Linked DNA regions of Mus musculus: regions 1, 2, 3, 4, 6 and 7 are each reported to be linked to region 5. Evidence: microRNA targets listed by miRTarBase, many of them from high-throughput screens and not tested one by one. Region 5 holds a microRNA gene; each other region holds the end of a gene's coding sequence. Distances are between the middles of the regions.
The links. The annotated mature microRNA mmu-miR-181a-5p reads AACAUUCAACGCUGUCGGUGAGU and lies in region 5 at 1,886-1,908, opposite strand. An mRNA with a match to its seed (bases 2 to 7 or 8) in the 3' UTR can be bound and repressed. Matches are read on the target gene's strand: a 7mer-m8 pairs with bases 2 to 8, a 7mer-A1 pairs with bases 2 to 7 and ends in A, and an 8mer does both.

Region 1: miRTarBase lists Dclk1 as a target of mmu-miR-181a-5p. Seed matches in the 3' UTR shown: 7mer-m8 at 778-784, 8mer at 2,016-2,023 and 7mer-A1 at 2,701-2,707.
Region 2: the mRNA of Lnpk is a reported target of mmu-miR-181a-5p. Seed matches in the 3' UTR shown: 7mer-m8 at 1,655-1,661 and 7mer-m8 at 3,427-3,433.
Region 3: the mRNA of Rsbn1 is a reported target of mmu-miR-181a-5p. Seed matches in the 3' UTR shown: 7mer-m8 at 1,561-1,567.
Region 4: the mRNA of Bend6 is a reported target of mmu-miR-181a-5p. The part of its 3' UTR that is shown has no 7-base or 8-base seed match.
Region 6: the mRNA of Med8 is a reported target of mmu-miR-181a-5p. Seed matches in the 3' UTR shown: 8mer at 3,123-3,130.
Region 7: miRTarBase lists Trp53inp2 as a target of mmu-miR-181a-5p. Seed matches in the 3' UTR shown: 7mer-m8 at 691-697.

The regions. Positions count from the first base shown.
Region 1 is chr3:55,533,230-55,537,576 of GRCm38, forward strand. Dclk1 (doublecortin-like kinase 1) reads left to right here. Exons shown (of 17, transcript NM_001195538.2): 17 at 341-4,347. The coding sequence ends at 505. Among named protein-coding and RNA genes, the nearest start is that of Gm31796, 7.9 kb to the right of the region's middle.
Region 2 is chr2:74,518,021-74,522,367 of GRCm38, reverse strand. It overlaps Lnpk (lunapark, ER junction formation factor), which reads left to right. Exons shown (of 13, transcript NM_027133.3): 13 at 71-4,347. The coding sequence ends at 309. Among named protein-coding and RNA genes, the nearest start is that of Lnpk, 59 kb to the left of the region's middle.
Region 3 is chr3:103,962,110-103,966,456 of GRCm38, reverse strand. It overlaps Rsbn1 (rosbin, round spermatid basic protein 1), which reads right to left. Exons shown (of 8, transcript NM_001356556.1): 7 at 3,842-4,297; 8 at 1-1,883. The coding sequence ends at 3,845. Phtf1os (putative homeodomain transcription factor 1, opposite strand) reads left to right here. Exons shown (of 1, transcript NR_030676.1): 1 at 1-1,921. Among named protein-coding and RNA genes, the nearest start is that of Phtf1, 4.0 kb to the left of the region's middle.
Region 4 is chr1:33,849,966-33,854,312 of GRCm38, reverse strand. Bend6 (BEN domain containing 6) reads left to right here. Exons shown (of 7, transcript NM_177235.3): 7 at 946-2,261. The coding sequence ends at 959. Among named protein-coding and RNA genes, the nearest start is that of Gm15455, 13 kb to the right of the region's middle.
Region 5 is chr1:137,964,029-137,968,375 of GRCm38, reverse strand. It overlaps Mir181a-1 (microRNA 181a-1), which reads right to left and starts at 1,921; the gene lies at 1,835-1,921. Mir181b-1 (microRNA 181b-1) reads right to left here and starts at 1,737; the gene lies at 1,658-1,737.
Region 6 is chr4:118,413,824-118,418,170 of GRCm38, reverse strand. Med8 (mediator complex subunit 8) reads right to left here. Exons shown (of 7, transcript NM_020000.3): 6 at 4,296-4,347; 7 at 2,347-3,447. The coding sequence ends at 3,383. Among named protein-coding and RNA genes, the nearest start is that of Med8, 6.7 kb to the right of the region's middle.
Region 7 is chr2:155,386,122-155,390,468 of GRCm38, reverse strand. It overlaps Trp53inp2 (transformation related protein 53 inducible nuclear protein 2), which reads right to left. Exons shown (of 4, transcript NM_178111.3): 3 at 4,300-4,347; 4 at 622-3,929. The coding sequence ends at 3,677. Among named protein-coding and RNA genes, the nearest start is that of Trp53inp2, 6.4 kb to the right of the region's middle.

The DNA.
Region 1 (4,347 bases), not on the chromosome of region 5:
CTGACAACTTTATCACCCTTTGGCTCTATTATCCCTGTGCCCTAAGCTGCTTGTTGGCCAACATGACCCAAGGAGCTTTCTTACCTGTCACACACAAAAGACTGAAGCTCCGTTTAATGTGGGGTGAGAGATAACTGGTGGCACTGGGTAGGTTGCTGCCTGCGACATTGCCTGCACCTGTTGGCTTCATGGGCAAGGATGATGACTGTTGACATAAGCAAGTCATGAGGGGCAGGTTAACCTGGCCAGCCGGCATAGTTTCCAACTGCAAACTGTCTAGAGTCTCTCTGCCATGTCCCTTGGCCTAATTGTCCTCTTTCTCATTTTATGCCCCTGCTAGACCACCGCTCTTGATAAGGAGAGGCAGGTTTTCCGACGAAGACGCAACCAGGATGTGAGGAGCCGGTACAAGGCGCAGCCAGCTCCACCGGAATTGAACTCGGAATCGGAGGACTACTCCCCCAGCTCCTCTGAGACTGTTCGCTCCCCCAATTCGCCCTTTTAATAAGACCCTTTTACTCGAAGTCCTAGCTTAACCCTTTAAGACTCTGAGATTTCCCCCTCCCTCCCCAAACTTCTGTAAAACAGGTTCATCTGATCTATCTAGCACTCAGTGCTGACCGGCAGAACAGAAAGTGTGTTTTGGGTACCTTTGTAGCAAGTTCCCTTTACTGAATGAGAAGGCATGTGGTGTTTGTGACAATGGTAATTTGCTGCTAATTGGGGTCCTTAAAGGGTTAAGGCTAATTTGCGATTTTTTTTTTAACATAGAAGTAATGAATGTTTTCATCAGTCAAACTAGGATCTGCAGTATGTAACATAGCACATGTTAGCCCTCTGAGTGCATAGAATTTTCTTGAGAATCCTTGCTGGGGAATTTTTCAGGCCTTGAATATCTTCACACATATTTCTTGATTTTACTGCAGACCAAGGGGCGTCATAAGACCCAAAAAATGTCCACACAAGAAGAGTATAGAGGATGACACACTGCCAATCCTTCTCTGTGGGTTTAGAAAATGACAGATTTTATAGCATCAGCAGATGCACCCATCTTTTCTTAAGCATCTTAGGAAGAAGGGAAGTCCCTGTCCCTACGTAGTAAGCTGGTTAGCTGCAGAGACTTCTCTGCTTTGATTGGAGAGAACTGGGTCTGTGGCAGCCTAACCCTAGAGATTGACAGTGTCTCTCCCTGTCTCCATACAAAGATGTGCTGAAGACGCCCCTGCCACGCTGCTTGCCCATTACCTGCTGCTAGTGCCAGGCAGACCCTCGGGGAACCACCTAGCCTTGGCTTGTGCTTGGTGAGTTGGGATCTGTCTGCTCAGGATCAGAAGAGCTCAAGAAACCACTGGTAAAAAGAGCAATAAATTACCAGGTGCTCTACAGGGCTGGGAATCCAACCAGCAAGGGAAAGCAAGGCTCTGTGTTGTTTTTGTTTTGTTTTGTTTTTCTCAGCTGCTTTTACACAGGACCGTAGCCACCAGTGTGAAACCAACACAGAATGGAAAAGATCTGGGGCAAGAGGCTAGTGCTTTGCAAAGAGGCAGAAGGGAAAGTTCAGAGGAAACACAATCCAAAAGGTTCTAAAACGGGATTCATAGAAACAAACCGATTCCATGGTAACTCTAGGTACCAGGAAGTCAGTACCAGCAAGTCTCCCAGAAGATACCTTGGCGGCTGAAGCCGCCACTCCCGTTCATGATTTTCTTTACTTTAGTGTGGTCTCCAGTCCTCCAGGGGGGATGTGTTGCTTTTCTGGTCTGGGGCCAAAGCCTGCCTGGGGTTGGTTTTTCACTCCTGTTACACAGTCCGTCTCCCAGGCCTGAGTTTCTTAGGGAGCCGATTGTGTTTCAGAAGGTGGGCTTGTGCTTCTCCGCTACATCCGTGCTCCAGAGGATTGCAGGAGGCAAGACCCAACTCAAACATTGCCCTAATGTTTTCTCAGCTTTGACTCAGGAGAGAACAATTTTACACTCCAGGACGGCAACAGGCCCCTTACTTGCTCATTCTTGCTTTGAATGTATTTTAATGTCTTGAAAGTTATGAACAATCTTCCCAGAGTCAGGTCTTTATTTTCGAACTCTACACTGATCTGCAGCTGCTGTGTTTATACATAGTCATAGGTTCTGCACATTCATAGATTTTTAAATGACAGAATCCCACATTTCCTGCTCTTCCACATTTAAATATAACATTTATTTAGTTTTTCTTTTCCTTTTTGGGAGTCCAGAAATGATACACATAAAATCACAAAATGGTATAAATCTGTACATTATTTGAATTGGGTGTTGGGACTAAGGACAGGGCACAGACCACCAGAAACGGTGTCAGAGTTCATATCGGTAAAAGACTAGAACTGGTCCGAAATCACTACTTTCTGTGGAACAGAAAAGCAAAGCGCTATTCTAATCAGCAAGTGATGGCATCACTGAGCTTCAACTCCACGTGTGTGACTATAAAACACCCTGTGGCCAAGAGCAGATTGCCACTTCCCTTTCTCTGAATTACTGCTTTCCCCGGTCATTAACGTATGGCCACAGCATCCTGGGGTACAGGCCCACAGTGCAAGGCTCTGGAACATTTCCATCAACATTATCTCATCAGGTTGCAGAAGAGCAGCTCAGAATTCAGAGCCCAGGCAGAAGGGTGATCACAGCACATCCCTATAGAATTTCAGTGATCTACGCTGAATAAATAGTGGAATGTAACCTGTCAAGTAGAAATATTGAGCAATCAGATGGAATGCAGTAATTCAGTAATCTTGCCAGCGTCAAGCTACCAAGATCTTAGATGTCAGAGTTGTAACTCAGAGGGTGAACAGACAAGCACAGGCTGCTGACTTGGTGCATCCAGACCGCTTTGCTTCTACCCAGTACAAATATCCTCCCTTCAACATTCTCAGAATAGCTCCAGTTTGAAATAATTAAGTGGTGGTGTTCTTTGAATTTCTATAACCAAATCGATCTTATTTTTTGTTTGGTGTATCATAGAACAACTATGTGCCATCATGGCTGTGTATCGCTGTAATTATCCACTGAACCATCATGACTGTTTCCATATTTTTGCATATTGAATATAACTCTTATGGTGGTAGTCTGGTGATGGGAACTGCCCTTCCTTTACTAGCAAGACCAGTCTTATGGTATTGAAAGGATTCTTTCAGTCTGAGAGTAGAGTAGTTGAACACTCCTTCATTACTTGCTTCCTGTAAATCAATTCTGTAGATGAGACCCATTTAATGAATACATTTTCCCCCCCTCCACATTGTAGAAGGAACCACTTTATTTGTCATGATCAATAAATGTGTGAATTGTTCCAAACCATTAGAAGGAAAAGGTACGGTCTTCAGTCCCTGGAAATGTTCTGGCTGTCGTCTTCACCTGACTCACACGTGGTGTGTATTAACTTAAGTCGAGGGGAAATAAGAATAAACAGCGGAAAACACTTGATGCTTTGCGTTCGCCGAGACTTCCCTGCATGCAGTCTGCTGGGCCCCCTTATGAGTGGTGGTTAACAGACCTGTCACATAGCGTTGAGAGAGAACAGTATATCTGTGAATGAAGGCTAAAATTGCAATCCTTTACCCTTTGAGGCATATTTCAGTTGAAAAAAACAACAGGAAAGAAAAATTGTCTCAGAGGGCCACCGAGCTACCGAATCACCAGGACTCAAGCCCGTTAAATCATGGTTGTTTGCTGGCCAAAGGCATGGGCTAGACAACTCTATCCCCCGTGCTGAAGTGCAGTTGTGCTGAGAGGGAATCGTCTCCACATTACTGCACTGCCTCTAGTCCTTCTCTGGGTAAAGCCCTGTCAGTGTTTCCATGATAAACTTCTATTCTGGAAGGTTTTTAATTTGACCATAAAAATGTGCCTCAGGCTGAAGTTTGCTAGTCAGGGCCTGTGCTGAAGAGTGAGGGGGGCACATCTCACCCTTCTCCACTCCCGAGGAAAAGTCAACACAGAGACGTCTGGTACGTTGCCTTCATTGTGATCCCAGAGTCTTGGAATGCACCAAGATCCAAGATGGTAATTTTAACATAATTATTCAATTATTCATTTGGATATGTTCTTTTCAAATTGGCTCACCTAACACATATCATAAAATAATTTTTATTATTTTAACTTGTTAATTACTATATGATTGTCTCTCTGTGTCTGTCTGTCTGTCTCTCTCTCTCTCTTTCTCTGCCCCCCCCCCCCACACACACACACACTTCTCCCTCTGTCCAAAGATTTTAAGAACTTGAACTTGATCAGCTCAAAGGTCCACTTTTCCCATGAGCTACCTGCTACTTCCATTGGAAATTCGCACAAAGAACTCTCTGACCCAGGGGAGCACGGGGTT
Region 2 (4,347 bases), not on the chromosome of region 5:
TTGGCTTGTCTTATTTAGCAGTTTTGACATTTAGATATCCCTGAAATCTTATGTCTTTTTCTCTTTTCAGACTCTTTAGAAGAACAAGATGTTCTTGATAATAGTACTGAGCAGAGAGATGACAAAATACCAGTTACAGAGCAGACAAGCCAAGTGATTGAAAAAACATCTGGTCCAGAGGAGCCAGCAGAGAACCAAGAAGAGACTGAGAACGAGGAAACCTCAACAAACGAAGCCAAGTCACCTGTTCTCAGAGCTGATTCTGTTCCTAATCTTGAACCAAGTGAAGAATCTTTGGTGACAAAGTAGTAAATACTTCCATGTGCCTTCAACTGGATATTTGTAGTCTTGTTGATGTTAGTTACTGCTTTTTTTTTTTTTTTTGTGGTACTCAAGAAAAATTTGCCTTCTAGATATACGCTTAATATTATTCATATTCAGATTGCCCAGCAAGTTCAGTGTATCCAAGTACTACCACTAGGTATTGACAGTAAAAGCACGTGGTATCAGTTAATATGCAGAGGCATAGCTGTGCATTCTAAAGTTAAAAAAATGTTTTTTACATGTATAACTTGTAAATAATACCCACTTTGACATAGGAACAAATTTGGCTAGGAATAATTTCTTCCATAGTATTTAAGGGTTGAAACATAATTAAGATTTTGAATACTTCATCATTAAATTTTAACTTTGGAGATATTTGCCAGTGGGAAGGAAATATCTGTTTAGGTGTTTACACCAAGTAATGCTGAAAGCTGTAACCTTAATTACATACGCATTGGTACGAATTCTCAGTAAGAATGCAACTAAACAGTCAAGTGCAGTATTTCTCTTGATGTCTTTTATTTTACAACTGGGCCAAAGGCACATAATGTATATAGTTAATGTTTACATAGTAATAGGAAATACATCTGCACTTGACTGTACTTGAATTCTTGGTATTATTTATATTTGTAATATAATGATGATATATAAATGGTTTTTGTGTGTGTGTGTGTGTTTTGTTAAGGAAAATAAAGATGACCTGGCAGCGTTTTTCTTTGTTAAATATCTAGACTTCCTCACATAGTATGTTGATGGATGACTTGGCTATCTGAAAAATACCTTGGTAGGGAAAACTCACTGTATGAAAACTATATAGCAAATTATGATGTTTTTCTTTTCATTTAGACTTTCAAAATCAGTGACATAAGAGGTTTAGTGTTTCTAATCAGAAGTTAAATTTTTTCTGATTTTGAAACATATTATGGCATAGGTAGTTTTTAACTTTGAGAGACAAATAAATGCATTTTTAAAGATAAGACAGTTAAATTTAATGAAACTCACTAGACTGAGTATGTATACCAAGTATCAGGTGGGAAGATTTTTGATGTAGACTAGTTATTCTTAAACACAATATGATTATTTGTTCTAGTTTCCTTTTATGTGTCTTATGTTGAAACAACTGAAGTGAATTTACATCATAGGGGAGACATGTTACGATAGTGTTTCTGGCTAATCCTTTAGCTATCAAATGTTTAAATATACTTATTATCATTTAAAAGTTTATATTTATGAGTAATACCTCATCTGACATATATAAAAGAACCCAGTTTGTTAATATTCTGAGGCATTTTAGTGTAGTGCCTGTAATTGAAGCATGTGGAACTGGACTTGAATGTCAGCTTTGCAATCGTGGGCATTTCACCTAACCTCTCTGCATTTATTTAAGCTGTAAAATGAAAAGAATAATATGTTTTCCATAGGTACTGGGAAGTTAAAAATAAGTTATATGATGTGCCTAGCTTTCTTGCTAGATAATTAATTAATAGGTATTAGGTTACATGGTAGAATTTATTGGTATTATTGAAACCCTTGTGAAATATGGAAGGACCGTAGATCCTTTCTTTGGTAGATAATGAAATTAAAGAAAACTATGAGCATTCAATTTATTTGTTCTGAACAGAAATTTTCTGCATTAATGTCATATGCACGTGTCAATGATAGATTAAAGAAATGGAGAACTGAAACTAGAATATAATCTTTTTATAAAAAGATGTGTTTATTTTTATTTTATGAGTATAAATGTTTGACTTGCATAAATGTCTGTGTCCAACATGTCTTGACAGGTATCTGTAGAGGTCAGATACCTGGGTCATTTGAAATGATAGTTACAGATGGCTGTGAGCTGCCACGTGGGTGCTAGGGATCAAACTTGGCTTAGTCACTACGCCATTTTTCCAGCTTCATATAACCTTTTTTTGTTTGTAAATTTTACAAGGGGTGTGTGTGTGTGTGTTTGTGTGTGTGTTAGTAGCACCATATTAAGTCTTGTTAAAACATCTGATATGCACTGCTCAAAAATGAGTACCTCAGAGAAATGGGATTTAATGAAGAAACCAAGAAGATATTATAAAAACATCCCCCAAAAGGAATATAAAGGGGGAGCTAGAGAGGTGTCTCAGTGTTAAGAATGGGAACTGCTCTTACAGAATGCCAGAGTGTGCTTTTCAGCTCCCAGCTTGGGTGGCTTGCTCCCTCCTGTAGCTCTAGATCCAGCAGAATTGATGGCTTCTCCCTGGCCTCCTAGGACACTAGCCTAATGTGTACTCTCTTCCCCACAGATACACATAGTTAAAAATAAAAATCCAAATCTTAAAAGGAGCTTAGTAAAATTAACACAACAGGTGGGTAATTGTTGGTGTATTTTAAAACAAAATATTATTCTGATATAGTAGACAATGTCTGAAGTGAATGAGACTCCACATTTCTGATTATTAAGATTAGTGTAAATGAGGGAGAACTTCCCTGTTCACAAATGCTCAGCATGTCATTGTTTAATGTCCCTCTCACTGTGTCCTCAGTGTGGCCTGAAGACAGGGCTTAGCTTCTCTCTCTGTCTTTCCTACCCACACCTTTCTACTGTAGCTATAGGACTCTCGCTCAGTTCTGTGGCTATGCTTTGCCTTTTCTGCCTCAATGTCAGCTTCATTTTTCTCTGACAGAGAGAGCCTCCTCTTCTCTCTGTCTGAAGCTAACCCTTTTAGTCCTGTATCAGGTCACTTTGTCTTTGCTCTGAATTCTTACTGCAGGGTATCTTGTTTTCCCTCAACTGTCTTCACAATTTGCTTTTCTTCTGTCTGTATGTGGAGTGCCTGCTCATTTTTCATGTGGATAACGTACCAGATCCAGGGACTGCTCAGTGCTTAACTCATGCGCTTGCTTGGCAGATTGACTTGGCTGAGTGTTCTTTTTCTGAGACACCTTTATCCTTTAGGTTCTGCATGTGCACTGCTGTTACCTTCCCTGGCTTCTTGTTTTCAGCATCCTTTGAAGACTTCCTCTGCCATCTTTAAATGTTGATGCTCTCTGGCTTCCAGCTATTGTCAGTTCTTATTCTGTGCATTCATTCTCAAGCCCAGGGACTTAATAGTTACTGTCTGTCTATGAATGTCAGAGCTTAGTGTGGTCTGTTTCTTTGCCTTCGTAGCTATGTATTTACGCACCTACTGCCATGGCATAGTGAAGTCAGTATTTCTTTAAAAAACAAAACAAAACAAAAAACAAAAACCCCTACTTATTCAAACTTGTGTGTCATTTCACCAAATACCATCAGTATTAAAACCAGAATTTAAAATATATTCCCTCTTTCCCTCTGACTTTAAAGTATTCATTCCCAGTTTCTTCCCCCACATCCCCAGTAGAATATTGCAATATAGCCCAGCCTGGCTTGGCTTTGTGACTTGAGGCCTCAGATTCCTAGGTGCTGGAATCATTCTATGAGTTGCTGTGCCTTGCTCTCCTCTAAACATTTTACACTTATATTATTTTTCTATTTCTTTTGAATTATATTAATGATAAATCTGCATTGTTCCACCAAACAAATGCTACCTGCTGTATGTATGTGTGCTTACACACAATTTTGTTTTTGGGGGGAACAGTCCTGTGGAGATTTTGTATCTTGAGTATGGGAAAGAAACAGGATGTAGAAAGACTAAGCAGCCTTCCTAGAGGTCTCTATTGGTGTGTGGAAACGTCTGAGATCTGACTGTAAGCAGATCACTTGTGATGCCGTTGGCATTGAAGCCACAGCCTCATACATGCTAAGCCCTGCTCTGAGCTGAACTGTTTCTTCCACTCCCAAGGCCTTACTGTTAATCATCATTGTATTACCTTCTAATTCCTGCCTCTGTCACCTCACGGGATGAAAGCTACCTTTTAAACTCTGTCTGCGATCATGCTGCTTTCCTATCCATTCTGTGCAGTGGGTCCTCAGACCTTTGTGGCTGTCTTCAGTCTTTCTGTGTTTGAGAGAGGACATCTGAATTACTGTATTGACTGATAAAGTCCGGAGCAGTTGTCTTTCCA
Region 3 (4,347 bases), not on the chromosome of region 5:
TTGAGATTTAAGACTATCCATTAAAAACCTTTTAAAACACTTGTTAATGTCAATAAACAAACTAAGGCCACACAAACGCAAATAGTCCGCCAGGCAAATTAAACATTTCATCTATATGCAAAGACCTCTTAGATAAATTAAAGCCACAGGAAAAAAAGTCTTAGCTGCCAATCAAAATGAAGTTTAGTCACAGAAAACACTATTACATGAAAATTTACAACGTGTGATAGTATTACATAAGTATTTCTTTAGAGAGAATTGAAAAGTGCTATATTTTAAGAGACGGTGGTCTCAACTACATGCACAAGTGGATCCTAAAAAATGTATGGAGATTTTTTAAATGGAAGGCCATAATGTTTATGGATACTTGCTTTTAAAGCAACAGACTTCCAGGACGAGGATAAGTCCTTTATGCACTTAAGAAAAACACTGGTGATGTGTATCTCCTCTACTTGCATGACCAGTAAATACGGCTACAGACTGTCTTGAAACATGAAACTTAGCACAAATGTGAGCCTCTGGCATGTGCTACTGAAAGGATGAAACAGATTTATTAGAAAAACACAAACTCAGTAATCCTAATTATCTTTAATAGATGCAAATAAATTTAAAAGGCAAATACAGATGAAAATATAATGGGCTAATATTAATGATAAAGGATATATTCACTAGGAACATATTTTCGTGGATTTTGGAGTCTTGTTCCTATATTAACTTTCCTTCTAGACAATATTTATACAGGGGAAAAAAAGCACTAAGCAAAAGTTTCTCAAGTCATTAGGTGAGATCTTTATGCCTGTTAAGACTGATATATCATTTCCTAAAGTTTAGCAAATTATTTAAAATAAGCTCTTTTCCCCATACAAGAGCTTGTAGTATTTGTGAACTAATAGTCCGACTGTTTCTGAGGGCGCAGGGCACTTTCCAAAAGTCTTAGAGTAAAAATCATGTAAAACTGTAAGTACTGAATAAGCAAAGTACAATTAAGACTAAGAATTCATTTCTCAAGAGTTAAACTTTGGAAGAGGGAACCAATATAAAGGTTATTATTATTGCTTTATGAATTTGGGACATCTCTCAGAATCGTAACCCTAACTCTTATCCTATCTTGATAATTATAGAATGACCTCTGGGACAGGGGAAGACTTATTCTTTTTAATGGTTACCATAAAATCATTCTATTTGCTGTTAGGAATATTTAATTTACTAGGTTCTTTCGATTAGCATATTTTAAAAATATCCCTCTGATCCATAAACTACTAAAACTTATAGCCACATTCTGCAAGTAATCTCAAGGGCTGGCACAATAGATAACATACCAGAAAGGAAGATCAGCTTCAATTTCAGTTACAACTTCACTGCCATCGCTATTTTACAAATCAGAGGATACCAGACCATGCCTCACTCCACCAACCAAATAGTTTAATGATTTAGAAAACTTGCGATCATTTGTATCACTCAACTAGGACACAGTTTTGAAAGCAGCAGGAAACTCGAAGCTTCTGCTTTTATATTCATCAGTCTTTAAAGCATGCTATCAAAATCTAATACTCACGTAGGACATTCAGGATTTCCAGGTACATTACTAGCTAAATGTGTCTTTCCATTCTATTGCAATCTAATATACAATGACTTCATTAGTACATGATTTTCAACATTTTTATATTCTTTTAATATGTTTATACTGGAAGTGAGGGTAGAATGCTTTGTAAAAGGAAAATGGAGATTTGCGTTTGATTGTAGGTCTTTGCAGATCCGCTGGTTCCTGAGTGATTGCACAGTGCTGGCTGTCAGGAGACAGTCTCCTTGTGTATTAGTAATGACCAGCTTAGATGACAGGATGGCATCTGCTGGATGGCAAGTGGGAGGTGGGGAAATCGGATCTTGGAAGACAAGAAAAACAAAATAAAACTTTTTGCGTTAACAACTTTTTCTCTTCATGATTATTTTTAAAAGCAAATGTTGCCTGAGAAGAATTTTTCTTTGCACAGCCTGGTAAAGCTCTATGAAATTCTTCTGGACAGAAAAAAATAAAAATAAGAAATAACCCAAACCCATTCATTTTGTGATATGCCCCTTTTCTCCACAAAATAACAACAAAAAATACCCTCAAAGGTCCCTTAAAAACTAGTTTGATAAACTAGAATTTACCCTAGAATTTATACACAGGATTTAAAAACACCCCTGTAATAATCACATTACCTTTCATACCATTCTAATTACCTTATTTACAAAGATAACTAAAAGCAACATCACTTCCAATTCATAAATGGTTTACATTGAAGTGTTTCCCTATTTATTTGTCTTCATCCTTTGTAACAGAGAATACACACATATACATATATATAAGGAATAATACAGATTCTAACTAATCACTGTAGTATTTGCTGATGGTTACTTTTCTATCGGTTTACACAGTGACCTCTATACTTTGCTAATATGCATTTAACTACACAACAATATTGCACAAAGTAATATTTATATAAGATTTAACCTATTTCAGAATATTTTAGAGAAAATTCATATTTGATATTTCCAAAGATGCAGCGAAGTTTCCATGGTGACAGACATAACAAAGCAGCATCTTTTTCTTTCGCCTATGTTAATGCAAATAACTCAAATCTCACCATCCAGGAAAAAAAAATCAAATTGCACTGTAACCAGGTAGATACAAGAATCTGGTCTCAGGTGTGGAGAGTACTCTTCCTTTAGTAAACAAAAGGCCTACCAAGTTGATAACTAGAGAAAGGATAATGCATAGCACATGAACATTCCAAAATAAGAGCCACACTACTTGGATGAAGGAGGTCTGTTTGAAAAAGGGAAAACAAAGTAAATATCCAGACACTAAGTTTCAGCCTACCTGAAACTAGGATGGAAGTCTAATGCCTGCTATTAGAAAATAGCAACACTGAATAACAATGAACAAACCCAGGTATTATTAGCCTGATAAAATTGTAAAGTGTTTTCAAAAGTAGATGCCAAGTCACAAGAATAGTTTCTCCTTAGTTTGATGCTCAGCTGTGGCAGCCCTCATCAGTAAGACTGGTGCAGTTCTCTAACTTTGATATGAGGATACTAGGAAGCACAACAGGTCAGCATTATCTCTCCTCCTCAAAACAGCCTGTATAGTTAGTAAATATCCTAGAAAAGATCAATGAACCATGGATCATGTATAGCCAATGTTTAGATTTTTGTTTGTCATCTTTAGAGGTTTGTTTAATTGAAGTAGCCACTGGGTTTTAAATAACAGACACAAAAAGACGGCCTGGATCAGAGAATGCTGTGTTTCCTCTTTTGCTGAAAACCAGAAGCCAGAGAGTTTTCTTTAGAGACCATGTCTTCTTTGTGGTTAGAACTAAACAACTCACTTGTCCATGTACCAGATGCAGGAGCCTTTCCTGCAACCAAATATCATTTTACTGTGGAAACTAACGAGGTGCCATGAAGACACAAGTATTAAACCATAAATCTGCTTTCTACCACATAAAGCAAATATGGCAAGAGACAAGGAAAGATAAAATCAAGGGAAGTAAATACCAAGTAAGAACCTGCTATTCCAGAGAATTCTTTTTTTGATTTGAAGAAGAGATTGAATTGTAACCTCACACCTTAAAACAGAAAGTAGCAGCAGACCCACTATTACATACTGTACTAACGATACAACTCTTAGCTTTGCATAATCTGTGTAAAAAAGATATGCTTGACATTTGTGGAATGTCATTTCTCTTTATAGAATTATAGGCAAGATTTCTCCAATAAAACTTAACTTAAGCCAGTTATAAAACTATAACTTCACATCAAAATTTAAAAAAGTTAAAAAATGTGTTTGAATATGTACATGTCACACAGGAGTGCTTGGATGTGCCTGCAGACTGTGTTGCTGGTCAGAGTCCAGTCTGCTCTCCACCTTGAAAACTGGAAGAGGCTGAGTCTTCAGATCCTGTAGATGAAGTTCTGATGGAGGTGGGAAAGACGGTGAAGCAGTTGTCAAAAGCTGCATCTCTGTGCATCTTTCCTCAGATTCAGTTTTTATTCTCACACACTGGGAGTCAACTTCTAAACCACAATCCATGTTGGAATTGCTCTCTGTGTTTTGAGCGGTTTCCACAACAGGGTGGTATTGTTTAAGCCTTATATGCCAGGCTAGGCTGCATACTGCTGACACTGTTTTGAACTGATGAATGACATTTCTAGGGATGAAGTAGATATCATTGTCGCAAAGCTGAATTCTAGCATAGCGAATGCCTTCTCGCCTCATTTGGTTTAGTTTTGCTTCATCCACCCACTGTACACACTAAAAAGAAAGGCAAAAAATTACATAAAGCCTTAAAATGTAATGATTCA
Region 4 (4,347 bases), 100 Mb from region 5:
CCCAGTACATTTATTGTGTGTGTCTGTGTTTGTGTGAGGTTTGATGTACAGTGTGACTTTGTGGTATTCCTTGATCCAGACTTCCAGGATGCCTTTCCCTTCAGAGCTCTAACACCAGGAAAACCTTTTCCCTCAGAGCTGTAACATTTTCCATGGAGATGGGCTAGAAGTGTGCTGAAGGGGTCCACATGAGGAAAACCAGATGTTCCACCAGGATCCACTTAGTCCCCTTGGAATGGGGGCAGAGAGGGAGGAGAAGCCGTAGCCCATAGTCTGCTACAGAGCTGGGAATTAGACTTGGGAGTTGGATATGGAAGAGAGGAAGGATCTGAAGTTGGTCTGCCTGCTTCCGTGGCAGAGGCCAGCGGTTCCCACTGAGTGTCTGAGGGAGCTAAAGGCTGACACTCTGTAGGAGAAGGTCTGTGTGATCTGCTGGAGGTGGGGAAAAGGGGAAGGGAGGCCACAGCAGATGGTTGGCTCCAGAGCTGTGGAGGAGACTGAGGGATTGGATTTGGAGAAGGGAAGGGAAGGGAAGCTCTGAAGGTCACCTCCCTACCTCCCTCTCTTCTGGGCTTTGAGTCAGGTAAGCCAGGTTTGAGGACCTGCTAGCCAATAGGCAACCAATAAACCTCACTGAAGAATGTTATACAGATGGGTGATAATTTTTTTCAAATGCTTGATTGACATGGGGGGGGGGGCTCATTTTACCTTGTTTTAAAATTTAGCTAATACAATTCATTATTTCAAATAAAAATTTGAAAATTAAAAATAAAATTAATTAATAAAATAAATGAGATAAATAAATAATTGTTTAAAAATTTTTTTAAAGTACTTTAACTGTTTTTTTTTTTATGCTGGATTCCTCTACATTACAAAGCAATTCATGGGACGTCTTAATAGCTACAGCTCCTTCCTTTAATACAAGTTTGCTTTTTTATTTTATAGGTATCTTAAAATAAAACATGCTTGGTTTTCCGTCAAACATTGGAATTTGCTGGAGAACTTGAGACACATCAAGGACTGGCTGTAGTAGCCATGGCTTTCCTGGTGGAGTAATGGACTGGCTGAAGCTGCATGCAGAGCCCTTACTAATTAACCAGAGAATGTCTGTCAAACAAGCATGCAATATGGTTTCTTTGGAAATATGCATCTTTCACAGCCCCGAATACTTCCCTGTAAACTAACTTAAGATGATATCAGCTCTTGTCATAGCAACACAAACATCCACCCTCCAGATCAGTCGTTGTCTTCAACAAACACTTCAAATTATTACTATCAGTGACTCCTCATTATGGCTTTTGTTTGGTGGGGAGGGGCTTTAGCAAGCTCCTGTTTGGTAAGAATACAATTGAAATAATACACGTCTACCAATACCATGGCTAACCAAGTAATGATGACTTAACGTTAAACCGTTTGAGTTATTCTGTGATCCAAAAATGTGTGAAATAGGATTCTAGAAAAAAACCAAAAACATAAATGCCTTTTCCGTATTCAGTTATCCCAACATGCCCCTGAAAGTCTAAAATCCCATCTTTGTTTGTTAATTCCATGCGCTGATTTTTATAATAGTCTCTTAGTCTATGAGGAAGACACACCCCTCGGTATCCATTGTCCAGAACATACTAGATTCAGATGTGTAATAGTAGATAAATCACCTAAAGCGCACGTAGGACATGATATCGTGCCTGGTCAGCCATGATGCTAAACTGCTTAATTTTGACCTGTTTATTTCCACTGTAGCAGAAGGAAAATTAACTGGAATAAAAATACCAATTTAACTATGGCATGGAAAATGCCATTTTGTAAATCAACAAAAAATAAAACATTCTTCAAAGACTTCTCACTTCATAAAAGGTCCCCTGACTACTTTGCAATGAGAAGCTATGCCTTTCTCTTTTTCTCCCCACGCCTTCCTTTCCCCTCTGAGACAGGGCTTCTCTGTGTAACCCTGGTTATCCTGGAGCTCACTCTGTAGACCAGGCAGGGCTCACACTCAGAGATCCACCTGCCTCTGCCTCCAAAGTTCTGGGATTAATGGTGTGCATCACCATGCCCAGCAAACCTCTGCTTCTTGAGTGTGTAACGTGACATTGAAGCTTGGGAAGGAGGATTTTAAAGTGCAGTGCAGGGGACCCAGGGACTACACTGTACAGGCTGCTTGGTTAATAGTTCAGTTGTACAAAACAAATACTCACAATGAAGTGAATTGTGTGACATTTGCTACTTTTAATTAAATAAAATTTAACTCCATTGAAAACTAATGCACTTTCTTATGGTTCACTTTGTTTTATAATGTATTCTATTCCAGGCATAAAAAAATTTTTTTTTCCTAGGGAGAGGCTTCCTCAACACATTGAGACATTCTCGTCTTCACCAAGAGCCTCTCCTGACCTTTTATGGTGCCAAGCCTCAGCTGCCTTCCGTGACACTGTGGAGAGCAGAGGAAGCTGTGAGTGTGTAAGGAGTATGAGAGTCCTGAATGTGTAAGGAGTGTGAGTCCTGGGTGTATAAGGAGTGTGTGAACTCCTGAGTGTGTAAGCAGTGTTAGTCCTGAGTGTGTGAGAAGTGTGTGAGTCCTGAATGTGTAAGGAGTGTGTGAACTCTTGGGTAGACAAGGAGTGTGTGAACTCATGAGTGTGTAAAGAGTGTGTGAGGAGTGAGTGAGTTCTGAGTGTATAAGCAGTGTGTGAACTCCTGAGTGTGTAAGGAGTGGGTGAATGCTGAGTTTGTGAACTCCTGAGTGTATAAGGAGTGTGAGTTCTGAGTGTGTATGCAATGTGTGAACTCCTGAGTATGTAGAGTGGGTGAGTCCTGAGTATGTAAGGACTGGGTGAAGTCCCCAGTAAATGTGAATTATTGACAAGGATCTCTGCCTCATACCCATGGGAATTGGCAAAACCTTCCTACTAGTAAGGCTCAAAGATGTGACAAAACCTTCCTCTAACCCTAACACAGTCTTTATGAACTATTATGTGCAAAAACAAACAAACAACAAAAACTAGCAACTGCAGCTTACTCCTCTCAGGTGACTGCAACCTGAGACTGATTCCCTACAGAGAACCCCAACAGAAGCTAGCTGTGCATAATAAACACGCTGAGGTGCGTGTGTGCACGTGTGCGTGCGTGTGTACGCACGCGCGCACACACACACACACACCAATCCCGGCTTTTCCATACCTGTGTACCTTCTTCATTCCCTTGAGGCCCAAGTCAGGCTTTCAGGATCAATCCATGTTTGTCACAGTAATAACCCCCTCGTGCCTTCAGAACCAGTACCACCTGGGAGACTCTTGCAGATTACCAAGTTTGGCTGCCAGAACAAGGTACAGCCTTGGTCCCACTGGGCCACAGCTTCTGTGTACCAATACTGAGGAAACACTCTAAGATTTGTGATCCTCATTGATGTTGTCTCTTCTTTTGTTTAAGACTTATTTATTATTTATTTTATGCACATGAGTATACCACCATTGCTCTCTTCAGACACACCAGAAGAGGGTGTCAGACCCCATTACAGGTGGTTGTGAGCCACCATGTGGTTGCTGGGAATAGAACTCAGACCTCTGGAAGAGCAGTCAGTGCTTTTAACCACTGAGCCATCTCTCCAGCCCCCTGTTGGTTTCTTCTTAATCAATGATTTCTTAGGTCCAGCTAAGTAGCATCAATTGCCCCCAGCAAAGCAAAGGTTTCAATTTAGTGGTTCTGCTCCTTTGTTAACCACAGACAGTTCTTCAGCCCCAACTGACCAGAACCACACATTCTTACTTGAAAATATCACAGGAGTGACTCTGATAGAGTCTTTGAAGAACTCTCACACTCTAAGACTGCACAAGCCAGGTCTCCCTTCTCCAAGTGGTTCTCAGCCTCTCTTCCAGGTTCCCAGGACAGCCGGGTAAGCTTTGAGTATTAACAGCTTTTTCAGCCCAGCGCTCTGAAGTCCTTCAATAATCCCTCCCAACATGATTAAGTCCATTAGAGCAATATCTTATGAACCCAATACCAATTTCTGTCTTAGGGATTCTACTGATGTGAGAAAACACCATGACCAGAAACAACTAGAGGAGTTAAGAGTTCATTTCAACTTACAGTTGTTGTAGTCCATGGTCAGAATGTGGTCCAGGAATGGAGCCAAGTGAGGAGAATTCTAGGTGCTTATGAGTGTGCCCCAAGAAAACAAGAGTCCTGTGACCTCAGCTTCTTCCAAACATGGAATTGTGTTTTCCTCTTCCAGCCAAGTGTAGCCAATAAAAGTGAGTTACTTTGATTACTCATTATTGCTGGCTGTTGTTACCCAATTAAATGTTTAAACTATCCTTTATGTTCCTCTATGGGAAAACATGTTTTTGCCAT
Region 5 (4,347 bases):
ATATATATACACATATATGTATACACACACATATACCTATATATCTACATATCTCCATTACCTTAGCATATATACGAATACACACACACACACATACACACACAAATACACATATGAAATGAAATACTATCCAGGCTTAGAAAAGTTTATCAACAAATATATACCTGGATGAATTTATAATCAATGAAATAGAGGCCAGTGCCGCAGGATCCACTTAAATATGGAACTTAAAGGGAATGATTTTATGGAAGAAGAGTAGGAAGTTTGCTACCAGGGGTGGAATAATACTGGTGATTTGGTTTCACCAAGACCAGCTTCCATTAAAAAAAAATCTGCACAATTGGGAGAGAGCAATGTTTCAAGATGTCAAATTGTGGGCTGAAGAGAAGTAATGAGAGAACACACAAATAGAGACTCTTCTGCAGGTTACTAATTAAGTGACGTTTCCAAACTCATAGCTTTTTAAGATAGAAAAAAGAAGGGGGCTGTTCAGTGAATGAAGCAGGAATAGAAACTTTTTTTTGAACTTCTTGTTTTTTGTTGAGATTAGAGCCTTGTCATACGTTAAATGGAACGAAACAGACGGTGGGAGAAAGGAGTTATGATAGATAGAGATGCCCCAAGCAAGGCAGGCACTTGTGAACTAACTACGTAAAATACTGTGGGAATGAATATTCTGAACACTAGAGCAAGGTCCCAGGAATGGATTTCTGTAGTGGGAGTTGAATGTATATCATAATAAACTGATCAAGAGAGAGAAAGGACAATATGTTTGATAGATTTTTTCCCAACGAATTAAAATCTATTAGGTACCATGTACTAGGTACCATGTACACACTGTATGCTGAACATCCTGTTATAAATATTAACTCCAACCACTGTACTTACTATTGGAGGTGATGAACCTTAATGACAGATGTTCTTTTTGAAATTATAGAGCCAAACTAGTTAGGAAACACACACACACACACACACACACACACACACACACACACACACACACACTTGCTTGAAGACAGTCCCTGGAATCAAGTCTACCATTTCAGAAGAAAGTAGAGGGTAAATAAAGATGATGAACTATAATCTTAAATCTGAGGTCTCTCTGGGGAAACAAATCTATTGCATGATTATAATGAGCCCCTGGATAACAAAGTACTTGGCTATTGAGGTACTATCCCTCTGCCTACCAATTCCATAGAGAGTAGAGCCATTTCAGCGATTCTTTATGCAGAGCAAAAGAATTCCCTCTTGCTTCAAGCCCATTTTGACCAAGAAATCTAATGAAAGATGAGGGGATGGTTATTTTCTGTGTAACAATGTGACGGATAACGGGGCAGGAAGTAAGATATTTCTTTGGTTCTTCCTCCCACCAGCACAGCAGAGCAGGAAGCCGTGCCAACCCAGGGCTACACAGTTGATTCTGGGCATCCAACACTTTAGCATTTTTAAGAAATGCCCCATTTGTAACCCCCAGGAGTATAGAAAAGCAGTATTCTTATATAAATTAGTGACTTCCTCACAGAAATAGGACTTGATATGAATTGAATAAACAAACCTGAAAGTTCAGACAGCAGAAGTTAAACCGAGAAACGGCGTTAATACCCCCAGGACCTCTATTAGGGAGGGAACGTCTGTTGATTGCGACAGCAAAAAGCGGGGCCACAGTTGCATTCATTGTTCAGTGAGCTTTTCTACACAGTTCAACCCACCGACAGCAATGAATGTTGATTGTGACCTTTGTAAACATAGTCTCTGAAGAGGCGGGGAGAATCCTGTCGGGTCCTGCTTTGCGGTTCTGTCTTCAGCAAACGCAGAGGGCCATGGAGTAGATGATGGTTAGCTATAGGGTACAATCAACGGTCGATGGTTTTTATTTGAATTCCAAACTCACCGACAGCGTTGAATGTTCACTGAAGCAACCTGTGAGGCAGAGATGTGCTGATTTAAACAGTATCTGTGGGAGTCTGGAGCAGGAGGGAGGCAGAGGAAAGCCCAATCCTTTAACCAAACCTGTCACACATTTTAAACCATTTCAAAAGAGTACAGAAGAAAAGAAGCAGGATTCCTCCAGCCCAGAGCTTGGCAAACCTCCACTTTGTGCTGTGTCAAAGAAAAGAATCGGATTTTTTTTTTTCAAAAGGGAAGAAAAGTCCTTTTGGGGGGAGCTTAGTTACAGGCTGTTAAAGACAGGGAGAATTTATCATTCAACAAAATTGGAACTATCAAAAAGCAAAACAAATAGTATCTAAGTATCTCATAATTTAAATATTGGTATGTATATAATAAGAACTGCAAGGACGCATGTAGGTCATGCAGAATCAAGCAGAAACCACTTAGGTTTTCTCAAGTTACATTGCTAACAATTTTGAACTTCTATGTTTACAATGTGCATGGAATAAGCATTTATTTTACAATAGGCATTTTAATTAGTATAATTTCTTTTAAACATACTTATTTTTAAAACAATCAAGGAATCAAACCAATTTAGCACATCTTTCTTTGCTTATGACACAAGACTTTAAACTACAATGAAAATTAATACAACCTATGCCTACTGCCTGAAATTCAACTCCTCTCACTTTGGTTATTATATCCTAATATTGTTATTTGTTTTGATTGAGTGGATCTGGCAGTAACTTCTATCCATTTCCTAGGTGTTCTTGAAATGAAGTGCATTTACAAGTTAGTATGAACTCTATTGAGCATGTCTTCAAAACTGATTTCAAATATCAACTTAAACAAAAATCCCTTTGTACTCCTCAAAACTAGGGTAGAAAGTTACTACATTATACTTATGTAGACTCTTAAGTGGCTTTAATAAGTATATATATATATATATATATATATATATATATATATATATATATATGTGTGTGTGTGTGTGTGTGTGTGTGTGTGTGTGTGTGTGTGTGTGTGTAACTATTAATAAAATATTGGTGAACCATTCAGTCCAAATTTTTATACATATTCATTTTATTTACTTAGAATATTGTATGCTAAACCTGTAATCATTTATTATCTTGTACACGAAGAGATTACAGGACAAGTGTCTCTGGCTGGTATTTTGAGGTAGATAAGGTAACGATCTGCTGATGGCATGCATTCAGACTTCAGATAGTTACAAGACATAAAACTGATGAATCTGAATAGTCCTGTGTGGCTTCCTTTGAGATAGCTTTCCTGCAGAGGGCTGTCTCTTGTGGAAGGAAAGCAAGTCTTCCTGGGACCATCTGTGTTATCAGTTTCACCAGAATGCATGTTGCTCATGTTCCCTTGCTTGACCACTGCACTATCATATTCAGGCCAGCATCCCATTGCTTCTATACATACCTGTCATTGCTTTTGATATCATTTTTTCAAGGCTGCTGAGCTGAGACTCTAAGCCATGATCATTGCCTTATCTCAATATACAAAATTGGAACTACGATCAAGCAATTTCCATCCGAATCACAATTAATAGCAAAGCACCGCAATGTGAGGGGTTTCCAGAACCTTCTAAAATTCTCTGTAGAAAATATAAGTCCAAATTTCTCAAATTCTTAGAATAAAATTACGGAGAATACTATCATGAAGTTCTTAGGAGATTGAAAGTGATTGGTGTTTAGTAAGAAATTAGATTAAACATCACATCACTGACATATTTTAACTCCTATTTATCCAATGAAACATGTACTTTTCTCATGGCTATAGTTTTTGATGAGAAAAACCTCTCAATAACTTAAACTCACTCTCCATGAGGAAAAGCACCTCTGCTCTTGCTGCACCTGCCTCACAGTAAGAGAATAACTTCAGGACGGTATTCTACAGGGGAAAGATGTCTACTTGCTGATTTAGCTTACCTTTCCTCGGCTTTCTACAATGCTGGTTCCAATCACTATTTTACTAGCTAACCTTGTCTGCACTGTTATTTTCCAAATTTGATAATTGGCTGGAATATTAATGTTGGACAGTATTGAAATTTTACATTTTCTGTCAGGTGTCGAGTCTTATTTGACTATTTTTAGAAAATGTTAAGATTCCAGGATTCTAAATTGGTGTTAACCATCTGCTTCCTTGCAGTTTTTCCTGAATCAAGAGCCACCAGAAATATGTCATTTGTGTGCACGTAGGCAACCATTCTCCCTTCATAATTTTTGGAAGGTCTTCTGGACAGGTTAAAACTGACTTGCACCATTGCCAAATTTACTTTAGCTTTTATTTCTCCTCCCGGGGCTTTGGAAGCATTAAGAAGTTCAGCTTTGCTTAAGGTTAGCGGGTCATAAATAAACCAAAGCAATTTCTTTGCTTTGAGCAAGAGGGTCAGAGAATACATGAAATATCACTTTTAAGCAAAGCAAACTTTAACAT
Region 6 (4,347 bases), not on the chromosome of region 5:
GCAGTAAAGAAAAGCAAACAGGAGAGAAAACCTGTACAAGTGGGCTGGAGAGACTTAACGTCAGACTCTCCAGTAGAAAGATCACTGGGGTCATTCGGATGTGATGTAAGGGAGGCCCGAGGAACTCAACAGCCGTGGTCCACACCTGCCTCCTGGGAAGCGTATGTACCCAAGTCATATTCTGAAGGCAGGTGACTTTTTTTTTTTTTTTTTGGTTTTTCAAGACAGGGTTTCTCTGTGTTGCCCTGGCTGTCCTGGAACTCACTCTGTAGACCAGGCTGGCCTCGAACTCAGAAATCCGCCTGCCTCTGCCTCCCAAGTGCTGGGATTAAAGGCGTGCGCCACCACACTCGGCAGCAGATGACTCTTAACAAGAGACCCTGTTAGAGGAACCCGGGCTCTGCCTCAGTGACACACTCGAGTCAGGAACAGATTGCTAATGAGATAAGTTTGTCCGGTGGAGTAGAGTGCAGGTTGATGTCCATGTGACAGGATGGAGCACCATGGCCTGCCACACAAGTCACTTCCCGCTCCTACCACTTTCCAAGCACTCGACCCATCCACTCTCAACTTTGAGGAAAGAGTCACATCAAACTTCTGCAAGCTGGTGCTTAAGCGCACAGGGCAGGCCAGAAGAGGAAACACAACTCCTGCTTCCTGCTCATACAACTGGCCAGGGCTAAACCACAAAAGGCTCTCCTGCCACTCAGATCTGGAGCACATTGGAAAAAAATGTCCAACCCTTAGTAGCTGCACTGGACATTCATCCGGAGCTGACCAGGGTGGGCGTTTGGAGGATTCAGCCCCCGTCCTGCCTAGCGCTGGGATCAGCTCACACGGCTCCTGTGTCCACAGGACACAGAGAATACATTGTCCAGAAGGAGGATTATTCTGTACAAGAAACTCAGACAAAGGGGGAGGTTGTTTCCAGCTGCTTGGGGGAGGTGTGTAGGGGTGGGGAACGGGCTCGGCCTCACATTGGGGCATTCCTACAGAGTTCAGCTTCTTCCTTTTAGCAGCAGGGTAAGAGGTGGGCAAGCAATCACAGCCTCTCTAGCCTGTACCCAATGCTGGCACGCCAGAGAGCCACAAGGAACATCTGGGTACAACCTACCTATCTTAGCTGTTGCTCCCCAAAGGTACAGTTGAGTGTCGTGAGCCAGCTAAGTAGGCCAGCAATTCACACTGGAAGAAGAAAAAGAACAAGGTGACCAGGGCAATCAGTAATGACTGAATCCCAGCCTCAGGACAGCACTAGAGGGAAGAAGTCTTGGGCAACCTCTGTGGGACTTGACATTGATTCCATAAGCTTCCACCTTCAGTGGGATGAACCCCTGTGGGAAGCACTCGAAGGTTCACACTTGCTGCTTTCTCCACCCCAGAAACAAGCCTGGGAGACAATGGGAAAGACCTCTGTCCATCTAAGGGACCCCAGTGCAGTAGAAAGTACAGTCCCTAAGCAGAAGACTGTCAGAGACAGGAATGCTGGAGAGTGCAAGTCATCTTTTTACAAACCCCAATCTGCGCAAGTAAGCAGCTCTCGTTTTTCACAGGCACCTCCACATACTCCAAGTATAGTAGGGGTTCCAGATACGCTTTTCCATTGTGGGCAAACTGGTACATGAGCCCCCAAGTGGGAGGCGACAGATTTGTATGCTAAAGTTCTAAAGGGAGGGGGTGGTGGAAATGACAGCTACCAGAGCAACTGAGAGGTGTGGGTGCCACCCACCACTGAGGGTTTGCTTAAGGGCATGCCATGTAGGTGAGGGCCTGAATGTGCTCCTCCTGCGGAAGGAAGATATTCCTGTTCTTGGAGGACAGGGAGCCCATTTCAATAGTATGGTGGGAATGAAGTCAGTTCAGCTGGGACAGCAAAGACTCTTGGGATTGGTAACAGGTGGAGTAAAGAAGAGAAGTCACCTGAAGATACCGAGAGTCTGAAAAGCCCAGCTAGAGCTCTACTCAATACCCCAGGTAGCGTTGACATTTAGTGGGAAGGGACGAGATGTGGAAACAAACACCTGGATGGGCTGATGGGCCAGCCTATTCAAGTGGGGGAAAGGTTTGGCATTGCTTCAGAGCACAGGGCAGGACTCCCCTGGTGTGCTGTGCTGTGGTCAATTAGCTGTCAACACCATTCACATCTTCACAGACCAGCACCAGAGGACCACTTTTCCAGGCCTTTGCTGCCACAGCCTGGTAGAATGCTGTCAGACAGACCAAAGGCCAAAGCCCTAGTGTGTAACACAAGAGAATACAAACGGTGCAGCTGGAAGTCTTAGGGTTTTTAAAGAAAATTAAAGATAAGGGACTACTTTAAGGAAAACAAATTAGAACTGCCTGGTAGATAGCTCATAAACTTTAGTCAGACAACCCTGAGCCAGGGAACATAATTTAAATATCTTTATTAAACAAAGAAACCCTTTGGCCCAATTCTGCTGACTCAATCTCTGCCCTTGCCCAGAAAAGAACGCTGAGAAAGGCAACAGGCCTGGCTGTCCAAAACTCCACTGTTCGTCAACTCTACAAAAGCAGGCAATATGAATGGAGCTGCTGCCCTTCCCACTTTCAATCCAGATCTTATCTGAGCCACACGTTCAGTGAGATGGAAGAGGACAGAGACAGGGAGTCGTCACTGTGCAGACAAATGAACCCCAACCCACGGCACTATAAAACACAACTGCCCTCCACGGAGGAAGACAGTATTCTCCGTGCTGTTGCCTGCCAGAGTCCCTCTTAAGAGCTCTTCCACCTGCTGGACCCTGGGCATCTTTAGCAGCACAGGAGGCTAAAAGATGGGCATGTTTACCTATTTCCCAGGGAAATGCTGAGCTGGTCTCATCACACCTGGAAGTGGCCAGTGTCCTCCAGAAACCTCCTCACCTGTAGCTTTTAGGGCCAGCAGGCCGTACTTGGGCAGGAGGGCCTGCAGAGACAGTATGCCCCCAACACATACAGGCCACCATGGATAACTTGATCCTGGGCCCATTGGCTCACTGGTGTCATGGAGATGAACCAAATCACAATAAGTTCTGCATATAGGACAAGGAATGGCAGGGTTGAAAGGTAGGAAACTATCATTTATTCAAGACCCAGAATTGCATACACCATGCTAAGTGTTTTACATTCATTTTCTCATTTTAATCCTCACAACAACCCTACGAGGTAGGTATTATCACCATCTACAAATGAGAACACAGGCTCAGAAATATTAGGTCACTTTCCCAAGTTCGAATGGCTATTCACAGTGGAGCTGAGATCTGTCTCTTGCTGAAAGCCTGTGTTCTTTTTATTGTCCCCATCTAAATAAGCCTTGAGCAAAAAATCATGTCATTGCTCAACTCAGCACAGATCACCTGAGAGTGGAGGCTGCCGTCCACACTCACCGCTGGTACGGATGCATTGAAGCTGACTTGATGTTGGTTTTTATTCCACTTGGCATTTTCCCTAAAAATAACAGAAAGAGAGATCTGAAGCAAGGTGAACTTTCACAATAAATCAGAAATGCAGCCTTTCAGTCTATCTCAGAGCCTCTGTGGCCTCTGACTCTGGATGACAGAGATTACTACAGGCTGCAGTTCTTCCTGCTTCCCTGACTGAAGACAGCTAGGGAAAGGGGACGATTTGAAAGAAAAGAGGAGGGGTCTGAACAGCCTTCTCCCCTAGGATGGTCTTCTTTCTGCTCATCTACTTCCAGAAAGGACAGGTAAGCCGTGTGGCCCCCGTTTAAGGTCCCAGGGAAGGAGTACTATGTTCTCAGTTGTTTCAGGGCAGAGGTACTGTGTTCTCAGTTGTTTCAGGGCAGAGGTACTGTGTTCTCAGTTGTTTCAGATGTACTTCTCCCTAGACAGCCTACCCGCATGAACTGCTTCCATGAACCCCACCAGACTGCTCTCACAGGAAATAAAAACGAGCGTGAGAGAGGGCAGGGAGCTAGGGCCAGGGTGCGGGGAAGGACCCATGAAGGTCCGCAGAACTGCCAGCTTGTTAATCTGCGATTATCTACCGAACGGTCTTGACTAAGGGCTGGCCTCTCATTTCTCTAACACACTGACACCCAGAATCAACAGGACAGGTGAGGCAAAGTCTGCGATGGACGTAAACAGCCACACCAGCTGCTGCTACTCAGGGTCCTTCATCACGCACTGGTACATGTTGCAGAGCTTTCAACTGTTTTCGAGGTGACAAAGCAAAGGAGGCAAATCTCCAGGTCTAAGGGGAGGGTGCAGATGAAGGAGGCTTAGATGATCTAGCTCATTCCCACACTCCTGTGCACTCAGTCCATGTCACCTTACCTGGTTGACCTGCCTGAGCCATCTGAACTCCACTGAGCATTGGCTGCTGCTG
Region 7 (4,347 bases), not on the chromosome of region 5:
TGTGTGTGTGTGTGTGTGTGTATGTGTGTGTGTGCGCGCGTGCACTAACTTGGTTTGTCTGAAAATAATCACCAAGTATGGTGGTATACACTTGTAATCATAGTGCTTGGGATGTAGAGGCATAAGAATCACAAGTTCAAGGTCACCCTCGGCTACAGAAAGAGTTCGAGGCCAGGTTGGACTTTGTCTCAGAAAGTAGAACCAGCCTTCCATCAAAGGTTTTAGAGGTGAGAGGCTGTCAGCAACACAGATGGTGCTTCCTCCCACGCAATGCTTGTGCTGCTCCATCAGGAGATGCACTTAACACAGTTCTACAGTTAACTAGGTAGCTCTTGGACCTTGTCATAGCCCAGTGCTTGGGACTAAAGAGTGGACCAGTGTTTGCTGTGCTTTCTCATTTCTGTATCCAGGTATCTTCATATATGTGCCTTATAAGGATCTTCTAAAAATATTTATGAGTCAGACCCTATATTGTCCTTTTCTAGTGAACTATTTGTCCTCTTGCTTTCTTATATGACAAAGGAGAACGAAGATTAGCCTAATAATAGTATCCTCTGCCTTGATGATACTTGAAATTATAGTGTTTCTCATACTTTAGCTCAGCTGAGGCAGAAAGCATAATGTGCTTTAAATAGATTTTTATTTGTTTATATTATTTTTTCTCCCATACAGGAATAGCATTACAACCTAACATTCAGAATCCTGTTACACACATACACAGGCATGCCACATGACCAGGTCGAGGTGGTTGTGTCCTTGAGTCTGTCGACACATCACAACATGGTCAGTCAAAGATTCTTCACTTCAGCCAGTCTCAACACAAAACACCCAACAGAGATGCACTCAACTTGTTGGTTCCATTTGGAACTAGGTGGTAGGGAAAGAAGGTATTAGAAGCAGGCTGTGGTTTGTCTGCGTTCAGTCCCCTCACACAAAGCCACCCAGGAGCTCTGGTAGGGTCCTTGTTGCACCTAAGACGTTATAGGTCCCAGCAAGTTGATCAGAGGGTTCCAGGCTGGGGGGCAGGCACACTCCAAAACAGCACCAAACCACACTCACACACACGGTGCCCTGCTGGGGCTAGACTGGCAAAGGTTAGAAAGTGACACCAGCTCAAGAGAACCACTCAGACTTATTGGAGAAAGCGCAGGTTGCCCTTTGATGTAATTGGGACTCACTCTAGAAACAGGTCCCTCTGACATCCGTAGTTTTGGCAAAGTGCTGGTAGTACTGACTTTAATACAAACTGGTACAAATTTCTCTAGGGTCTCTGAAACCACAAATCAAGACAGACTCTCTAACCTCCTCCTGTCTAGGGTTGCATAGGACTTTGTGAATTCTGGTTCCCTTGTGTATTCAAGTTCTGTGGTTTAAGAAAAAAAAAAATTCCTGAAGCATGCTCAAGGTGAAAGGCACATACACAGTCAATACAGTATGACAGGGTCTGATGCTTCAGGAGTCAGACTAGCAGGAGACTGAGTAGTGTTGGTTCTTAGACATCTATACACAACAAAAATATTGCCACACTCAAATGCTATAGCATCTATAGGAAAGTACAAAAGAAAAATAAGCCTTGCAACCAGATGAGAAATTGGAGGGGTCTAGAACTACCGGAGCTTTGAGAAATTAGGTCAGGAGCGAGGCCTTCTGAAATTTGAGCCAAATGCCCTATCAAGCTTCCTACAGCAGCAAGATCATGGACATTTGCCCAGGACTAAGCCTAGGCCCCAACTGGCAGTGAGGAGTAGACAAGAAGGGCAAGAGGGAGCTTCAGCTCTTAAAAATGCTGAAGATCCTAAGCTGGCTGGGAAGTGACCTTAGGACAGTTGGAAGAGTAAGTATACTACTAGGTTGTAACTGAAGAACTTGGGACAGGAACTAATAGGGCTCTAATAAGCTAGTGTAAAATTTTGATCTGCTTATAGTTCCCATTTGGCTTACTGGGCTAGGAGACCCTAGCAGGGCTTCCTCTGTCCCCATCCTGGGGACATCCTCTCCCATCCCACATGAAGCCTAGTAAGAAAGGATCAAAGAGGGCAGCTACTTTTACCCTCGTAGGAATGCAGTTTTCTCCAACCCTGGCTTGGCTCTGAGACCTGAAACCTGGGGTTGGAGGGAAGGGAAGACCTGTGTTAGTGTAACAGGACATCTAAAGGTTTTAAGGAAGGAAGAGCACACACTTTAAAAAGGACAGCTAGAAAGAACCGGAAACAACTTGGGGCATCCCAAGAGGCTGTTGCTGGTGTCTGAGCCCCACCACAAGAAAGAAGAAGCTGGCAACCCCATCCCTGTGCCCTACCCAAGAATTCCTTACTCCAGATATTGAATTAGAAAGGGGGGAGGGATTATAGGGCACTCAGAAAGAGCCCTGTGGGAGAACATTAAGAAGACTCTTGAAGGCCCTGAATCTCTGTAAGAAAAATTTGGGAATTGGGACAGTGAGGCTCCTGGCCTCCTCTACCCAGGAGTGTTTATTATCCAGCCATATTGAACAAAGTATGAAATATAAGGCCAGAGGCAAGATAAAGGCAGAGCTGTCAGTCTGGGGATGGCTTTACCTCATAGTTGTCCTCCTTAGCATCATGCCTCCTCATTCTTGCCTTGGGGTGTGTTTCCTTTTCCCTGCCTGGAAATCCTCTGGCCTGCATCTCTCCTAAGCTAATTCTAGCACCTTGGGCATATGAACAGAGATGGTCAGGATGATGGGGCCTTACCCAGCTTCTACTCCTGGGGTGGCATGACAAGGTAAGGTGACAAGGTACAAGCCCTTCGGACTCCAGACTCACAGGGACAGGGGTGGGTAGGGGTTACTCCTGAAGGACAAATTTCAGGGAGGGGGGAACCCTGGAAGGCAGGATTATAGGAAAAGGAAATGGGGGCAGACTCCAGGCTCAGGCCTAAGACCAGGGCTTAGCTACTCTGACCAAGCACAATACCAGCTCCCAAGATGCCCTGCTCCCTGCTACTTCTCAACCCACCTGTCCCCATCTGCGGCCCCCACTAGGCTGCCTGTTTCCCTCCATTCCCTTCACCTTATCTAACTTACAACTCACTCTCCTCTTCCACATACTTAAACTTTCTAGGCCTAAGCAGCAATAAGGAGCCCAGCCCCCAGGGCAGAGAAAGGGGGAAAACTGAAATCAAAACCCATGCCTGATCCCTGACTACAGGATGAGGACAATGGCCCAGGCCTGGCAGGTTGCACCTGCAGGATTGGGAGGGAATTGCCAGGAATGAAAAAAAGGGAACAAGAGTGGGAGCGATCCCAAACAGAAGAGTAAGTCTTGGAAAGTAGGAGCTGAAGCGGAGAAGGTGCCAAGTCAGGGTCTTAGGAATCGGGTGGGCTAAGAGGGAAAAGGTGAAGGGGCGAGAGACAAGAATAGAGGTCCTAAAAAGAAGCATGGGAGAGTGGGTGTGGGGAGTGTGAGGGTGGAGAATCAGACACTGAGAAAGGAGGGAGGATGACCCAGGATGAGAGAGGTTAATAGGTGAGTTAGACTATAAACAGGGAAGTAGAGGGCCATCACCCCACCTCAAAACTTAGGAAGGAGGGAGGTTGTAGTATCCAGATGGAGGCGGGTGGACCCCCCAACACCCTCGAGCAGCACACTGGCTGCTGCAGAGGAGGCGGATGGGACCAGGAGTCGGCGAGGGATTCGCGGTGCAGCAGGGGCGCTCAGTAGTTGAACTGGCGCTGGCACGGCTGGTAAATAAAGCTGCCCTGGTGCTTGGGCCGGCGCGAACGGCTCTCCCGGGCGCGATTCTGCCGTTGCAACACTTTAGCACTCAATGTGTGGCGCTCAGCCCGCTGTCGGGCTCTCTGCAGCCTCCGCACCTGGCCAGCCTTCTCCAGCAGCACAGCTCGAGCGGGCATAGGAGCAGCTGCGTGGTGCAAGGCCCTGGGTTCCCGGAGGGCAGGCGCCAGCTCTCTGCAGAAACAGAGTACAACTCTGTCAGAGAGGGAAGAGATCAGGGTTGGCATCCCACACCCTATTTCTGCGGGGCAGACCACTGAGGGGTACAAATTCTTCCTTTAATCACAATTAGAGTTGTGATTAAGCACCTGGCACAGGTAACTAGGCAGAACAGGGAAAAAACCCTGACCCCCCAATACAAGTCCTACTCTGATTCTGTCTGGCAGATCAGGCTGGTCCCTCCCAATCCTCTGAGCCAGGGCTCTCCCAAGCCCCACCTTAGCCACAAGACCACGCCTCTTTTCCTTCAGCCCTTTATCCCAAGGACACGCCCCTGCTAGTCTCCTAGACCCTAGCCTCCAGTCTCCACCCTCAACCCACTCACCCATCGCTGAGGTCCTGATCAGGCAAGGCAGCTTCAGGGTGAGGGGAA